2 linked regions of the Drosophila melanogaster genome follow. The main gene of each other region encodes a partner of the protein of the gene in region 2 in a complex. Each region holds a gene or a part of one and is shown on either strand. Other genes may lie near its edges. A codon is read from its position in the direction of its gene.

What was found. The genes of interacting proteins can lie anywhere in the genome.
Region 1: the proteins of Dcr-1 (region 2) and loqs are in contact, whole or in part, in a cryo-EM structure (PDB 8DGJ), measured with the Drosophila melanogaster proteins. Residues at the interface, in NP_524453.1 of Drosophila melanogaster: His245 (codon at 5,223), Phe248 (codon at 5,214), Asp251 (codon at 5,205), His252 (codon at 5,202), Arg253 (codon at 5,199), Asp255 (codon at 5,193), Glu258 (codon at 5,184), Ile259 (codon at 5,181), His303 (codon at 5,049), Tyr306 (codon at 5,040), Gln307 (codon at 5,037), Glu310 (codon at 5,028), Lys311 (codon at 5,025), Lys313 (codon at 5,019), Arg320 (codon at 4,998), Leu323 (codon at 4,989), Cys326 (codon at 4,980), Leu327 (codon at 4,977), Ser329 (codon at 4,971), Thr330 (codon at 4,968), Ile333 (codon at 4,959), Gln334 (codon at 4,956), Tyr336 (codon at 4,950), Ser337 (codon at 4,947), Leu338 (codon at 4,944), Glu340 (codon at 4,938), His341 (codon at 4,935); in NP_609646.1 of Drosophila melanogaster: Thr358 (codon at 4,056), Gln359 (codon at 4,059), His360 (codon at 4,062), Ser361 (codon at 4,065), Lys363 (codon at 4,071), Val364 (codon at 4,074), Phe367 (codon at 4,083), His368 (codon at 4,086), Lys372 (codon at 4,098), Ile414 (codon at 4,413), Glu415 (codon at 4,416), Glu416 (codon at 4,419), Lys417 (codon at 4,422), Thr418 (codon at 4,425), Phe419 (codon at 4,428), Gln422 (codon at 4,437), Gln424 (codon at 4,443), Pro433 (codon at 4,470), Val434 (codon at 4,473), Gly435 (codon at 4,476), Val436 (codon at 4,479), His438 (codon at 4,485), Ser440 (codon at 4,491), Asn454 (codon at 4,533), Tyr458 (codon at 4,545), Ile461 (codon at 4,554), Met462 (codon at 4,557), Lys464 (codon at 4,563), Lys465 (codon at 4,566).

The regions. Positions count from the first base shown.
Region 1 is NT_033779.5:13,380,662-13,386,183, forward strand, and holds loqs (loquacious), read left to right. Parts: upstream 1-1,990; 5' UTR 1,991-2,126; intron 2,127-2,234; 5' UTR 2,235-2,278; coding exon 2,279-3,003; intron 3,004-3,075; coding exon 3,076-3,361; coding exon of another isoform or gene 3,362-3,430; exon of another isoform or gene 3,431-3,504; intron 3,505-3,865; coding exon of another isoform or gene 3,866-3,995; coding exon 3,996-4,133; intron 4,134-4,160; exon of another isoform or gene 4,161-4,322; coding exon 4,323-4,571; 3' UTR 4,572-5,010; downstream 5,011-5,522. Other genes in the region: beta'COP (coat protein (coatomer) beta'), read left to right, coding at 1-98, 334-1,520; Ing5 (inhibitor of growth family member 5), read right to left, coding at 5,274-5,375, 5,438-5,522.
Region 2 is NT_033777.3:22,735,076-22,742,849, forward strand, and holds the start of Dcr-1 (Dicer-1), read right to left. Parts: upstream 6,017-7,774; 5' UTR 5,956-6,016; coding exon 3,322-5,955; intron 3,270-3,321; coding exon 1,661-3,269; intron 1,604-1,660; coding exon 1-1,603. Other genes in the region: CG6985 (uncharacterized protein), read left to right, coding at 6,242-7,021, 7,080-7,679, 7,739-7,774. UniProt on the Drosophila melanogaster protein: Endoribonuclease which functions in microRNA- (miRNA) gene silencing and, independently of its ribonuclease III activity, also acts in the short interfering RNA- (siRNA) gene silencing pathway.

The sequences.
Region 1 (5,522 bases), on a different chromosome or scaffold from region 2:
CTTTGTCCTGGGGGTGGACACTGCCCAGGTTGCCAATGCCGTAGAGACCAAGGAGGGACTGGAGGATGATGGTGTGGAGAGCGCTTTCAATGTGCTGGGTAAGTTGATACCAATTATCTAATATGTATCTTATCTTTAGAATACGTGTCTCAAACACGATTTCTCAAATGAGATTCCGCTTTCAATATTCCTATAGAGAGCATACAACAATGGTTTACTCTGTATTTCACCATGAGAGCAAACTATTTTAAATTTAAATTTAAAAAAATATTTCCATTTACCACATAATAGCAAGAAAGTATAATTGTATTGTATTATGCATTTGTGTTGCAGGCGAGGTTTCGGAGTGCGTCAAAACAGGACTTTGGGTGGGAGACTGCTTCATCTATACCAACTCGGTGAACCGCATCAACTACTACGTGGGCGGCGAGATTGTGACAGTATCCCACTTAGACCGCACAATGTATCTGCTGGGCTACGTGCCCAAGGACAATCGTATTTACCTCGGCGATAAGGAGTTGAACGTGATCAGTTTCTGTCTGCAGCTGTCCGTGCTGGAGTACCAGACGGCGGTTATGCGAAGAGACTTTGAGCGCGCAGACGTTGTGCTACCGACCATTCCCAAGGAGCACCGCACTAGGGTGGCACATTTTCTGGAGAAACAGGGCTTTAAGTCGCAGGCCCTGCAAGTCTCTACCGATGCCGACCATAAGTTTGACTTGGCCTTACAGATCGGAGATTTGGAAATCGCCTTAAAGCTGGCCCGTGAGTCGGAGAACTCCCAGAAGTGGTCACAGCTGGCAGATGTGGCGTCTAGCAAGAACAACATGTCTCTGGTTAAAGAGTGCATGCAGAAGGCAAACGACTTAAGCGGTCTATTGCTGCTCTCAACAGCTTCCGGCGATGCCCAGCTGCTCGAGGTGGTGGGTGCGGCTGGCTCGGCCCAGGGACATCACAATCTAGCTTTCCTCTCGGCGTTCCTTCGTTCAGACGTGGAACGCTGCTTGGAGATTCTCATTGAGACAAATCGGTTGCCAGAGGCAGCGTTCTTTGCCCGCACCTACCTGCCCAGCCAGATGTCAAGGATCGTAGAGCTTTGGCGGGAGAAGCTTGGAAAGGTCAACGAAAAGGCGGGACAGTCGCTGGCCGATCCGGCACAGTATACAAATCTCTTCCCTGGCCTGGGCGATGCGCTGCGGGTGGAGCAGCATTTGCAGGAGGAGCGAGCTCGTAAGGCGCCGGCACGCCTCGCTGCGAATCTACCACTGAATAGCGAACGTCATCCTCTGCAAGAACTATTTGCCGCCGAGCAGGGTGCCGCCGGCCAGCATTTGGAGGAGAAGGTGAAGCCAGCTTACGTTCCCGCTCAAGCTGTTGTTTCTAGCAGCCAGGTGGCCGAGCCTACATCCGCTGCGGATGACGACGACGACCTGGACTTGGAAATAGATGGAATTACGTTGGATGATAACATTGATACGACAGATGTGAACCTCGATGACGATTTTCTAAGCGACGATTAGGACGGAAGATCACAGCCAGATCTAGAATACCATTTAAACTATCGTTTACTGCTACGGGAGTCCCACATTTCGTGCATTTCGAGCCACAGAATTCCGCGCATGCATTCACATTTGATTTGATTGAATGTTGTTTAAATATATATCTATTAATAATATGTACAACAGTAATGGAGCAAACACTGCAATAAATACTTATACAACAATTTCAAATATGGCGCTCACTTCAACTATTTCGATTACATTCTGATATCTTATCGATAAAACTTTTAAACAAACTTACGATCATGCCAGGAGAAATTAAAAATTATTTTTGTTCTTTTTTTTTTTTGAGTTAAATTAGTATTCATGGTCTATTTTATTATATATTTGTACAAAAAAATGTTCTGTACCTGTTACATACATTTATTTCAACATATTTACTCTACGAGTAGGGGGTGTAATAAGTAGGCAATCCAAAAAAAGTCTGGCAACCACAAATATCAGTAAAATACATACAATTCGTGTGTGCGTCTGGATTTTGCTGTATTTTTTATTTAAGAATGAATTATTAACTAACCATTAATAAATTATTATTAAATAAAAAACAGTTAAAACCGCGATTCAAACGTGAGTACTCCCCGAATTTCGGCGAGAGTGTCAACTGGACTTTTCGCCCGCTATTCGTCGGTGATGTATCGATTTTTCAAACAACAATTACCCCGAAATTTTAAACAGATACACACCGAATCCTCCCGAAAACCGTGCAAAACAAGAACACCATGGACCAGGAGAATTTCCACGGCTCCAGCTTGCCGCAGCAGCTACAGAACCTCCACATCCAGCCGCAGCAGGCGTCCCCCAATCCTGTCCAGACGGGATTTGCTCCACGGCGGCACTATAATAACCTTGTCGGCCTGGGCAATGGAAATGCCGTCAGTGGTAGTCCGGTGAAGGGTGCTCCGCTGGGGCAGCGCCATGTGAAGCTCAAGAAGGAGAAGATATCCGCCCAGGTTGCGCAGCTGTCTCAGCCAGGTCAGCTGCAGCTGTCAGATGTTGGTGATCCTGCCTTGGCGGGCGGATCGGGCTTACAAGGTGGAGTCGGCCTTATGGGCGTAATATTGCCCAGCGACGAGGCCTTAAAGTTCGTCAGCGAAACGGACGCCAATGGACTGGCCATGAAGACGCCCGTCAGCATTCTGCAAGAGCTGCTAAGCCGACGAGGAATTACTCCCGGCTATGAACTTGTCCAGATCGAGGGCGCCATACATGAGCCGACCTTCCGGTTTCGCGTGTCCTTTAAAGACAAGGATACGCCCTTCACGGCCATGGGGGCAGGACGATCGAAGAAGGAGGCCAAGCATGCGGCGGCCCGTGCGCTCATCGACAAGCTGATCGGCGCGCAGCTGCCGGAATCGCCTAGCAGCTCCGCTGGTCCGTCGGTGACTGGGCTCACGGTCGCCGGAAGCGGAGGAGACGGCAATGCCAATGCCACAGGCGGAGGAGAGTGAGTTTTTATTCTATTGATGTCTAAGATATGATTCTAAGATATCCAATTTATTGTATTATGTCCTTGCAGTGCCAGCGACAAGACCGTTGGTAATCCGATTGGCTGGTTGCAGGAAATGTGCATGCAACGGCGATGGCCACCGCCGTCGTACGAAACGGAAACGGAAGTGGGTCTTCCCCACGAGCGGCTCTTTACGATCGCCTGCTCGATACTCAACTACCGCGAGATGGGCAAGGGCAAAAGCAAGAAGATAGCCAAGCGCTTGGCCGCCCACCGCATGTGGATGCGTCTGCAGGAGACTCCCATCGATTCGGGCAAAATCAGCGACAGCATCTGCGGCGAGTTGGAGGGCGAAGTGAGTATCATTCAAGACATCGATCGTTACGAGCAAGTCTCTAAAGATTTTGAGTTCATCAAGATCTAACCCACAAGCAATTTTCTAATATTTTTAGTGCAATTATTTTGAATGCAGTCCCATGCTTTAGTTTATAAAATTTTAAAAATTGATTTTATCAAATATATGTCATAAATGTTATATATTATTTAATACGTTTGTCCTCTATCCCTTCTCAAATGTAATGTAGAACGTTTAGAGTAATCCTCAGTTGTAAATATCCCTATAATCTTTTAAATTATGTATCTAGCTAGAGTTTTAGTACTATAGCATCCCTTTTATAGTGTGCTATCTGATATTTTTTATTGTCCTTGTTTTTATAACTAATGTTTTTGACATAATTATACATATAATTAACATAATGCTTACACCTTATTTATATTTCTGGTTTTATTTATGGTTTATATTGGCTTATTTCATTTTTCATTTTTCATATTGTTCCTTGGCATGGTGATTGTTTTAAAGAACGAATCTGTAAAGCACCTTTTCCACACAAAAGTGATATGTTTCAACTCACCATTGGCGTGTGTGATTTCAAATGTGTGCGAAATGCAATGGAGAAAAGAAACCAAAAACTTTGCGCTCTTATTTACAGCCCCGCAGTAGTGAAAATTATTATGGTGAATTGAAAGATATCTCTGTGCCGACACTGACCACGCAGCACAGTAACAAAGTATCCCAGTTCCATAAGACCCTAAAAAATGCAACGGGCAAAAAACTGCTTAAGTTACAGGTAAATTTCAATCCAATAACGCTTTTTATTCAAAAACGATCACAAACATATTTCCAACATTCAAAACCTGCTTTCGAAAGTACATATTTGCCTTAACCCCTCACAATCCTTATAATAATAGTGTTCTTGCTTGAAAGTTCAAAGTTTAATTTGACTCTGCTAATTCGACTCCATTTGTATTTTTTTCAGAAGACTTGCTTGAAGAACAACAAGATTGATTACATCAAGCTGCTGGGCGAAATCGCCACGGAGAACCAGTTCGAGGTGACCTATGTGGACATAGAGGAGAAGACCTTCTCTGGCCAGTTCCAGTGCCTGGTTCAACTGTCCACGCTGCCCGTTGGCGTTTGCCACGGCAGCGGACCAACAGCTGCCGATGCCCAGCGGCATGCCGCCCAGAATGCCCTCGAGTACTTGAAGATCATGACCAAGAAGTAGGGGGTGCAGCCAACTGAATAGCAAAATCTGAACGCACACCACGACCACGATCACGAGTATTTGATGAGAGCGATTACCGAGTGGATACGGGATAACTAATGCACCAGTCTAATTGCTTTTCTTTCCACTTTTTGGCTCAATGCAGTGGCGATGTTACATATATATATATATATATTTTGTTTCTTTTCCACCGATTCCTTTGATTAGGCAGTTGTATTTGTTAACTGCATATGTAAATGTTCATATATGTACTACACTTACCGATGAATGTATGTACGCTTGCAAATACAGACAAGCGTGTAATCGATATTGGAATCTTCTAGTCGCTTTCAAATTCTGAAAAACGTAAAACGGCAGATAAAACTAGGTTTAAGGTAGACTACGTGCTAGTTTGCGAAGGAAAAAGGCTTATGAATATAATCGGTATTTGGTAATCGCTACTTTTGCAGTTTTCTTTTCCTTGGGCTGAAAAACTTTGTAAACTCCGAATTAAAGGGCATTGATGAATTGAAATTAATCAATCCAACTTTAGAAATATTCTGTGAAAACATCTTTTATGATATGGAATTATTTAACTACAAATTAGTTAGGAAATAAATTGACAAATATAATACTGAAGTTATAGTAGCCGTGGCTTTATTTAAATAGGTAATTTTGTGCTTAATCTAAAGTAGTATTCTAAGTAATCATAAAGGATTGCATCTATTTCTTCTTTCTGTCCTGCGTACACTTGGGACAGAACCACTTGCCCTTTGGCTTTGTGGTGAGGCCAACACAAGCGAAGTGAAACCACTCGATGGGACACTAAAATGGTAGAGTGAAAGATCTAGAACTGACCACAGAGTACATCAAAATCGAATACTCACGTCGGGATTGTCGCAGCCAATCATCTCTCCATAGGACACCTGGTGGCATAGGCAATATGTGGGCTCATTGGGATCGACGGGCATG
Region 2 (7,774 bases):
CGTTGCTCCTGGTTACCCCCGTCCAACTGCCTTGTGATAGGGAGCACTCTCACGCCCAGCCAGGCCATAAAGAGTAAAGCCCCTCGGGGTCCGCACTCAATGAGATAGGCTCCAATGAGGGCTTCGACGCAATCGGCAATAGACTTATCCGGAATGCTGTGTTGCGAAACAAGGTTGTAGGGAATAAAACAGCTAAAATCATTGCAGCTATCATTGGAGTCGTCAAGTTGTCCATTTTGGGCACCCCCATTCTGCTCCAAGCCCAGGGCATCGGCTTTTTCGCGAACCATCTCGCAGATTTGCACACTGCTTAGGTTCTTAATGTCTAGCAGATCGGCCAGCTTCCAATGGTGAGTGGGGATCTTCGCCTCGATGAGCGCCTTCTCTAGCTCCTTTGGCACGTAGTAGCAGGGTGGCAGCCAATTGTCGTGCGGCTCGAATTTAGTGGCTATCATATATTCACCCAGTCTCTTACGTCTGCCCAGACGATAGAGATTGAGATTGGCAACCTGCTTGGAGCGCAGGTGACTTAGTTTTCCCTCGTGCACATTCTCGTAGGTGATGTACAAGTAGGTGGTAATGGCATACTTTAGAAAGGAATCTCCAATTGTCTCCAGTCGCTCCAGATTGATGCCATCGTTAGCATTGGACATTGTGAGGGCTTGCAAAATGATGCTGGGACTGGGTCCTGGATGGCCCACTAGATCCGGTTGTCGATCGAAACTGAAGCCAGCTGGTAATATGGCTGAGGTTATGGCCTTCGTGGAAGTAGGTGGCTCAATTTCAATTCGTTCGTATTGCAGTTTCAGTTGCTTTTCATCCAAGTTCAGCCGATGATGATCGTTATAGTTGTCAAAACTATCTCCGCATCCCATTACATTGTAGGTCTCCTGCTCATGTCGCGCTACCCAATCTGCATTTAGCTCTACCAAATCCGACAGCAGAAGCTCGCGCCTATCACCCAGCTTTTTGGCCAGCACATCTTCATTTACATACGGCAGCAGCTGCTTCAATAGCTCCATCATCGATACCTTTGCAACCTGAGCCTCAGCGGCATCACTTCTTTTTAGAACCAACTGCTGGTCGTGCGGCACCAACATGCCGCCGGATTCTATTTCCGTTTTGAGCTTAGCTATGGATTCTTCATATCTTATAGTGGCAGGTTCCTTCTGGTCCTCATGCTTAAAATTGAATCCAATGAGCAGGTTCTTTGTCTGCTGATACTGCCGCTCGTTAGCATTGGTCGCCTGGATGATGGACAGCTGCTTCTGGCGCTTTTCCACTTCCTGTGCGGTTTCAATAGTCTCCGCTTCATTCTTGGAGGTGAACGCAATGCGTCCCGCATCGATATCATCTGCCACATCGTCGTCATCCGAACTGTAGTTGTGATGCATGTAATTGAGCGGACCTGCGTTATCGTCGTCATCGTAGCTGGAACCCAGCGAATTGTCCGAGTCATAATAGTTAAATGTGGGCTTTGCCGGACCCTTTGCTTTGCCCTTGCCACCCTGCTTATTCTGACTGCTCTTTGGACCCTTGAAGCCGCTTTCGCCATTGCTCACATCCCAAAATGTGGGCGAACCGTAGCGCGTTTGCTGATCACCTGTAAGATGTATTAGGGATTATTTCTGATCCTTAGCAAGGGATTTAAATAACTTACAGAACTTAACGTTTGCCGGTAAAACTGGGAGATGGAAGGCGTCATCCTCGTCGTCGTCTTCTTGGTTAAAACTAGCTATATCGTCGGCCATATCGTTTGACCAAGTGCCTATCTCAATGAAGTCATCAGCCTCTTGCAGCTTCTCCTCTCCCTCAATGATTAGTTCAATAGCACTTTTCTCAACCTTATCGTCTTTTGAATCCTTATCTAGTTGGGTCTCCTCGCTAGTCGGTTTCTTTTCAACATCAGCTAAGTCTTTGCCATTAATAGTATCATCCTTAAGGGACTCCTTTTGTTTGGACTCCCGCGATTTCTTGAGCACCTCCGATAGACTCCACCCAAAGTCCAGCATGGGCCACTCGAAATCCTCATCTTCGATCTGTTGCCTTCCCAGCCCCAGATCCGCAGAAACCTGTTTCCGAATATCGTCGGCCAATAGAAGACCATTTATGCGGTACAGGATGCAGGGCAGGCACACGGCAGTTCGCCACAAGGAGGCGGGGAATGGATGCACAGTGCAGAGCTCTGGCACAAGGATCTGCTTCTGTTCGAGATTCTCGCGCTTTGCCCGCTTTGTCTCCTCCGAACTAGTGGGCAGAGCAACGCCCTTGCGATTAACGTATCGTGGCGTGAGGAAGTTTAACCGCGCACTGGTGTGATCCACGTCCAATAGCGGCTGCGAGGTATTCTGTATGGTCAGACCATACTTGACGAGGTAGTAGTGCTTGAACGTGCGGTAGTTGTCACCAGGGAAGCAGCTGAGTGGGGATAGATGTGGACATATCTCCGCCACATAGAAATACTGCGGTTGATCCTGGTTGCGATACCACGGCATAACGACGGCATCCTGGAAGCGTTGCGGATCAAACGGCTGCGCCTGGCGCTCCTCATCGGGCACTGCCCGTGGCATTGTATTTCCATTCGCTTGGATCAGCTCCAGAAACTGCCAGTCGATGTGCTTGCCGCCAGCTGGTGCCTTCACGGTGGGCACAATGAATACACAATTTTCCGTGGAGTCCGGATCGAAGAGCATCAGAAACTTTTGCAAACGCAGTACATTGGTGAACGTGTAGTTTAAAAATCCGTTGATGCAGACTATTTGTTCGCTAGTTAGAATCACGCGTTCCTTAGCTAACTCCAGGGAAACCTTCACCTCACCGGAACGCGTGAATATCGAGAAAGCACTCAGCTTGGGTATCCGTTTGGTGGTTAGAATGCCGAATCCCTGCTGCGCATCTTCGGGCGGATAAATCTTGCGTCCCCGCGTGTTTTGCTCTTCGGGAATCGGACATTGGAGCGTCAGTTGGATAAAGTACAAATAGCATGGCGCTCCGGCAACGGGACGGCAATCGCAAAATTCGGATGCAATGCGTTTGTAATAGTACTGACGACGCTTCGTTGTTCCCGGACGTGGTTCATCGCTTAGCTGCACAATCTGTTCGTCCTCTGGCTCCAGTTCAAAGCACTCCCAGTCCGGCTCCAGGGCACGAAATCCCTCCTTGCCGATAGGCTGCAACTGATCGTCTAACTCACCGATCCTGTGCAGTTCCACGCAAGCCTGCAAGGCAGCCAGTCGGCGGGCCAATGTTTGAGTTGGCATCGGAAGACCCTAAAGAAGAGTATTTAACAAATCTTAAATAATTCGTATTACAAGTACTTACCACAATGTCATGCTTCAATGGCGAGTTGATGGGCAGACGGAGTGTGTACTGAAACAGGGTCACTCCAGCCCTTTCGTTTCGGGTGCAGCGCCACAACGCCGTCAACTTGGTGAACGTGTCGCTTGGCAGTCGGGCGCAGTACTTGTTGACCAAAGCTATAGCAGAACCCAGATCCACGGAGGCGCCTGTTAGCAGGTGCGGCTTGGGTCGGTATGCGGCCAGGCAGGCACTAAAACGTTCCGCCTCACTCTGCTCCTGCTCCGGCGGCTCTGTGTTGGCGCACTTGGATAGCAGCATCTGCTCGATTTCGCGATACTGTGCCATTTGATGCACCAAGTCCTTCGTGGTGCTGGCTAAACTATGAGCAGTATCGATTTCGGCTGTAGTATCACTTGTGTCTTCTGGCTCCGTTAAAGAGCTCAGCTCGCACTGGAAGCGTCTGGATTTTTGTTCTGTACTGCTCTCGCTTGGAGACGTGTTACTCATGCTGACGGCTTCGTCGCTGGAGTTGCTCGTATCCAGCTGCGCTGCGGCTGGCAATTCGTCCTGGATCTCCTGCAGCTTAATGTCGCACGCTGTCGGTGGTTGTTTACTGAACACTTCGGGGTTGAGGATCTTCACGGTTCCGCGTGCCGTGCCAAAAGTATAGGGATCCGAGCCGGACGAGTTTGGCATCGCTGAATCATCAGAGTCGCTGTCCGCCTCTGTAGTATCACCAGTCGCGCAAATATACCGATGACTCCGATCGGTCAGCTGCACTGACCCCACAGTTGGGCTTTTATAACTCGGAGCGACGAGAATGACATGATAGGCTGGAGCAGCACGGGCTCGACCTTTGCACTGAACGTAACTGCGATATGTGGTTGGCGGATCCCAGCGCACAACCAAATTGCACTTGGGCACATCGATGCCCTCTTCCAGCACCGAAGTACCGATCAGGACATTGCAGTCATGCATGCGGAAGCGCTTTAGCACCTCTTCCTGCCGCCGGTGCTCCAACTCAGCCTCTTTGGGCTCCGTGGTGGGATCTGCCACCCGGTCCGTGGTGTACTGGCAGCGTAGGAACTTGAGATCGGGATCACGTCTGCTAATCTCCGCTAGAAGCTCAAAGAGCACGCGAGCCGTGTGGTTCTGGTTGCAGTAAATCAGTGCGCAGAGCGTGTCGCTGCCATCATTGTGATCCCGGTGGTGGCGCCTGGTGTACACACGTCTACGAGTTCGTGGTTGTGCAGTGTTGGCACCAGAGCTAGGTTTCGGCTTCGCATGAGCGGGAGTAGGAGTAGGAGTCACCCGAGCGGCGCTTCTGTTCGTCTGCCTGTCCTCTGTCGTGTGCAGAATCTGCTCAAGAGTGGCCACCAGGGCTCGTGTCTCCGTCGGCGGTTGGTCCATTTGATCCACCATTCGGCACTTGCTTTCCAGCGTATGAGATAACCGATTGAAGTCCGCCTGATCCACCTGATGCCGCATTCTGCGCAGTCCGTCCGCTTGGGTGTGCACCTCTTCCGGCTTGAAGCACCTCAGTGTCTGCAACAGACGTCGCACCTTGGGGCTGGAATAGCGTTCGATGGTCTGGCGTGAATCGCTGCCACTTCCTAAATGTCGATGGAATGCGTGTTCGCAGAGGGAGTACAGTTGGATAAGGGCCGTGCTCACTAGGCAGTACAGCAAGTAGTGACGTTCGTGCGGCGTCTTCACCTTTAACTTCTCATTGCATTGGTAAAAGTGATGTGCAGCCCGCTGCGTGCACCAAGGACCCATCTCGTGCAGCACGACCAGTAGTGAGTTGATGACGTTCAGGGGGTCCACCTTGGGATCGGGTATGTCTTTCAGTTCGTCCATAAACTGGTCTGTGCCGTAGATTTCGTAGGGATCGTAGCGGTGGTCCAATAAAAAGGACTTGTGTGTGTTGAGCACATCGGCAAGCACCAGGGACAGTTCGTCCATCTCGAAGGGGGCGCACTGTACGATGTATTCGTGCGGTCGGGAACAGTAACGCAACACGGTGACAATATCACTGGCCGTCTCGATCTGGCAAAGCACACTCTGCTCCAGGGTGGCCAGCATGGCGCTCAGTTGCTGCAGCTCACATCCGGCGCTGTGCAGCGGTCCAGCGAGTCCGAGAATCCGTGGCCTGTCCGCCGGTGGCGCTGGCATAATGTGATTCTCGAACAGAGGCCTTATCCTCTGATAAACGGCGCTGTCATGACAATCTTCCAGCACGATCAGTTCGACGCTGCTCAGCAGCAGCTCGCGAGTTTCGAGCAGATAAAGAAATCCCTCTGGCCGTAGGATGGAAACGTGATAGTCCGTCCAGCAATGATCAAAGGGAATTTGCATATCCGGCTGCTCCTGCCACACCCGCAGGTCAGTCAAGTGGGTGAGCATCGTGTAGATGGAGCATGGTTCCGTGCTGGTGCCAACCTCGCAACTGAGATAGACACTGACACGACCATGTCGGCGTGCTCGACGCGACAGCTCCTGGAGCAGCTTGAGGGCTATAAACTCCTTGGAACTTCGATGGCCCAGGCAAATAATCGTGTTCCGCTCGTAGGCGGTGGCCAGTAGCTCCACCTGAAAGTCGCGCGGCGTGAACACGGTGGTGTGCAGATTGTTGTCGCACCAGTGGAACGCCATCGTGGCTGAGGGGATTCACAAAAACACCACTGCCTCTGCGAGATTTCTATCAGAAAATCATCCAGAGCCGGCTACCAGCAGAATGCCAGTGTGACCAGGGTTCGGAATACCTTTCGAGGTTCACTTCATTGGCCACACTTACAAGTGGCTTGAAAATAGATTGCGCCTTGTATATTTATATTTTGTTGATAGCAAAAGTTTTTAAATTAACTTATGTATTTACGGTGAACTATACCCGGTAATCCTCTTCTTTAGCACCATAAAGCGGCGTTCCAAAGCTCCTTCCATGCGCCGCGCTGCAAAGCGAGAGAGCGAAGCGGCGCCTCCCAAAGAGGAACCACAGTCACCCTGCTCCTGGCCCAAAAACAATCTACCCAGCGAATGGGGCACCTCAGGGGGCACCCAAAGCCTGGGACCTCGAGAATTCAGGGCGGGCGAGAATCCCCTCAAAGATAGCCGCATCTTCCATGTGCTCTGGCGTAATCAGACCACCAAAAAGCACAAAACGTGGACTGGCAACGGAACGCTGGTGGTCACGGGATCCATAGTAACATTGAAGGATGACACCGGCAAGGTTGTGGACACCATGACATACTTTAAGCAGCGGCAACTTCAGGAGAACGATCAGCTGGAAGTAGGCAGCAAGGATGTCGAGATTCAGGAGGAGATTAAAACCGTCGAGGAGTGCCTTATTCAGCGCCAGTTGGAAATAGCCAACTGGTGCCAAAAAATAGATGCCCAGAATGGTTGTACAGACACATCGCCACCACCTGCTGACAGTGCACCCGTTAGGTCTCATCTGCTCAAGAAGATCAAGCGCGAGGCAGATGCCTTTGCTCCACCGCATTTGGAAATTAGCCAACATAGAGAAGATAAACATGTCTCCTATGCAGCCGCCGATTCCAGCACTTCGATGGGAAAGAAAATCTATGAACAAAACACTTTGAAGATAGAAAACCCTACCAAGGAGTTCACCCAATCGGAATATCTGTGTCTATTAACTCCAGCTGAACTGCAGAAAAAAATATTACTCTTTGTTTCTGAATATGCACAAACATCTAAAACAGTAAGATAGATTTAGACCAATTTACATGCATAAACAAATCAAAAAACTTGTATTTCAGGAATCGTCTACGTTGAAGGAAATCTTCCAAATTGTATGTGATCATCCTGTGCTCCTAAAAACTTTGGGTACGAATCCAGTGTTTAAGGAAATAATGGAGGTACTGGACGCCATACTGCCGCCTTGGCCAAGCATGGGACTTTACGACTCCGCCAAGTTCGAGTTTCTACACGTAATGCTGGATCACTTAGTGGCGGAGCGAGGCGAGAAGTGCTGCATCTTGGCAAACAGTGAGGATTGCCTCACCCTGGTCAGGGGATACTGTCAGAGTTATAGTTTGGACCATGCGCAGCTAGATGGTCCCCAAAAAGTGAACTTATTTAATTCTCTTGCCGATGGAGAACCAATGATTGGCTTGATTTTGACCAGTGACTTGTCGGCGCTTCGAGCTCTTCGCTGCAAACACCTAATTATTTATAATCACAATTCCAGGCAGCAAGCCAACCAACTGCTGGCCGTTGGAGCAATGGATACCAAAATATATACTCTCATCACAGCCGGAGGTTCTCCGGAGGAGTTGCAGTTCTATGGGCATATGGGTGATGATTCTATAGAAGATCTTCAGAATTGCCGCAGCCAGCTTATACCGACCGCATCTAATGTGAGTACTTCGAATTCTTATCATATTAATAAATCACCTATTGCATTGATAACCTATAGAATCTAGCGGACTGGACCAAAAGTGAGCCACCTTTT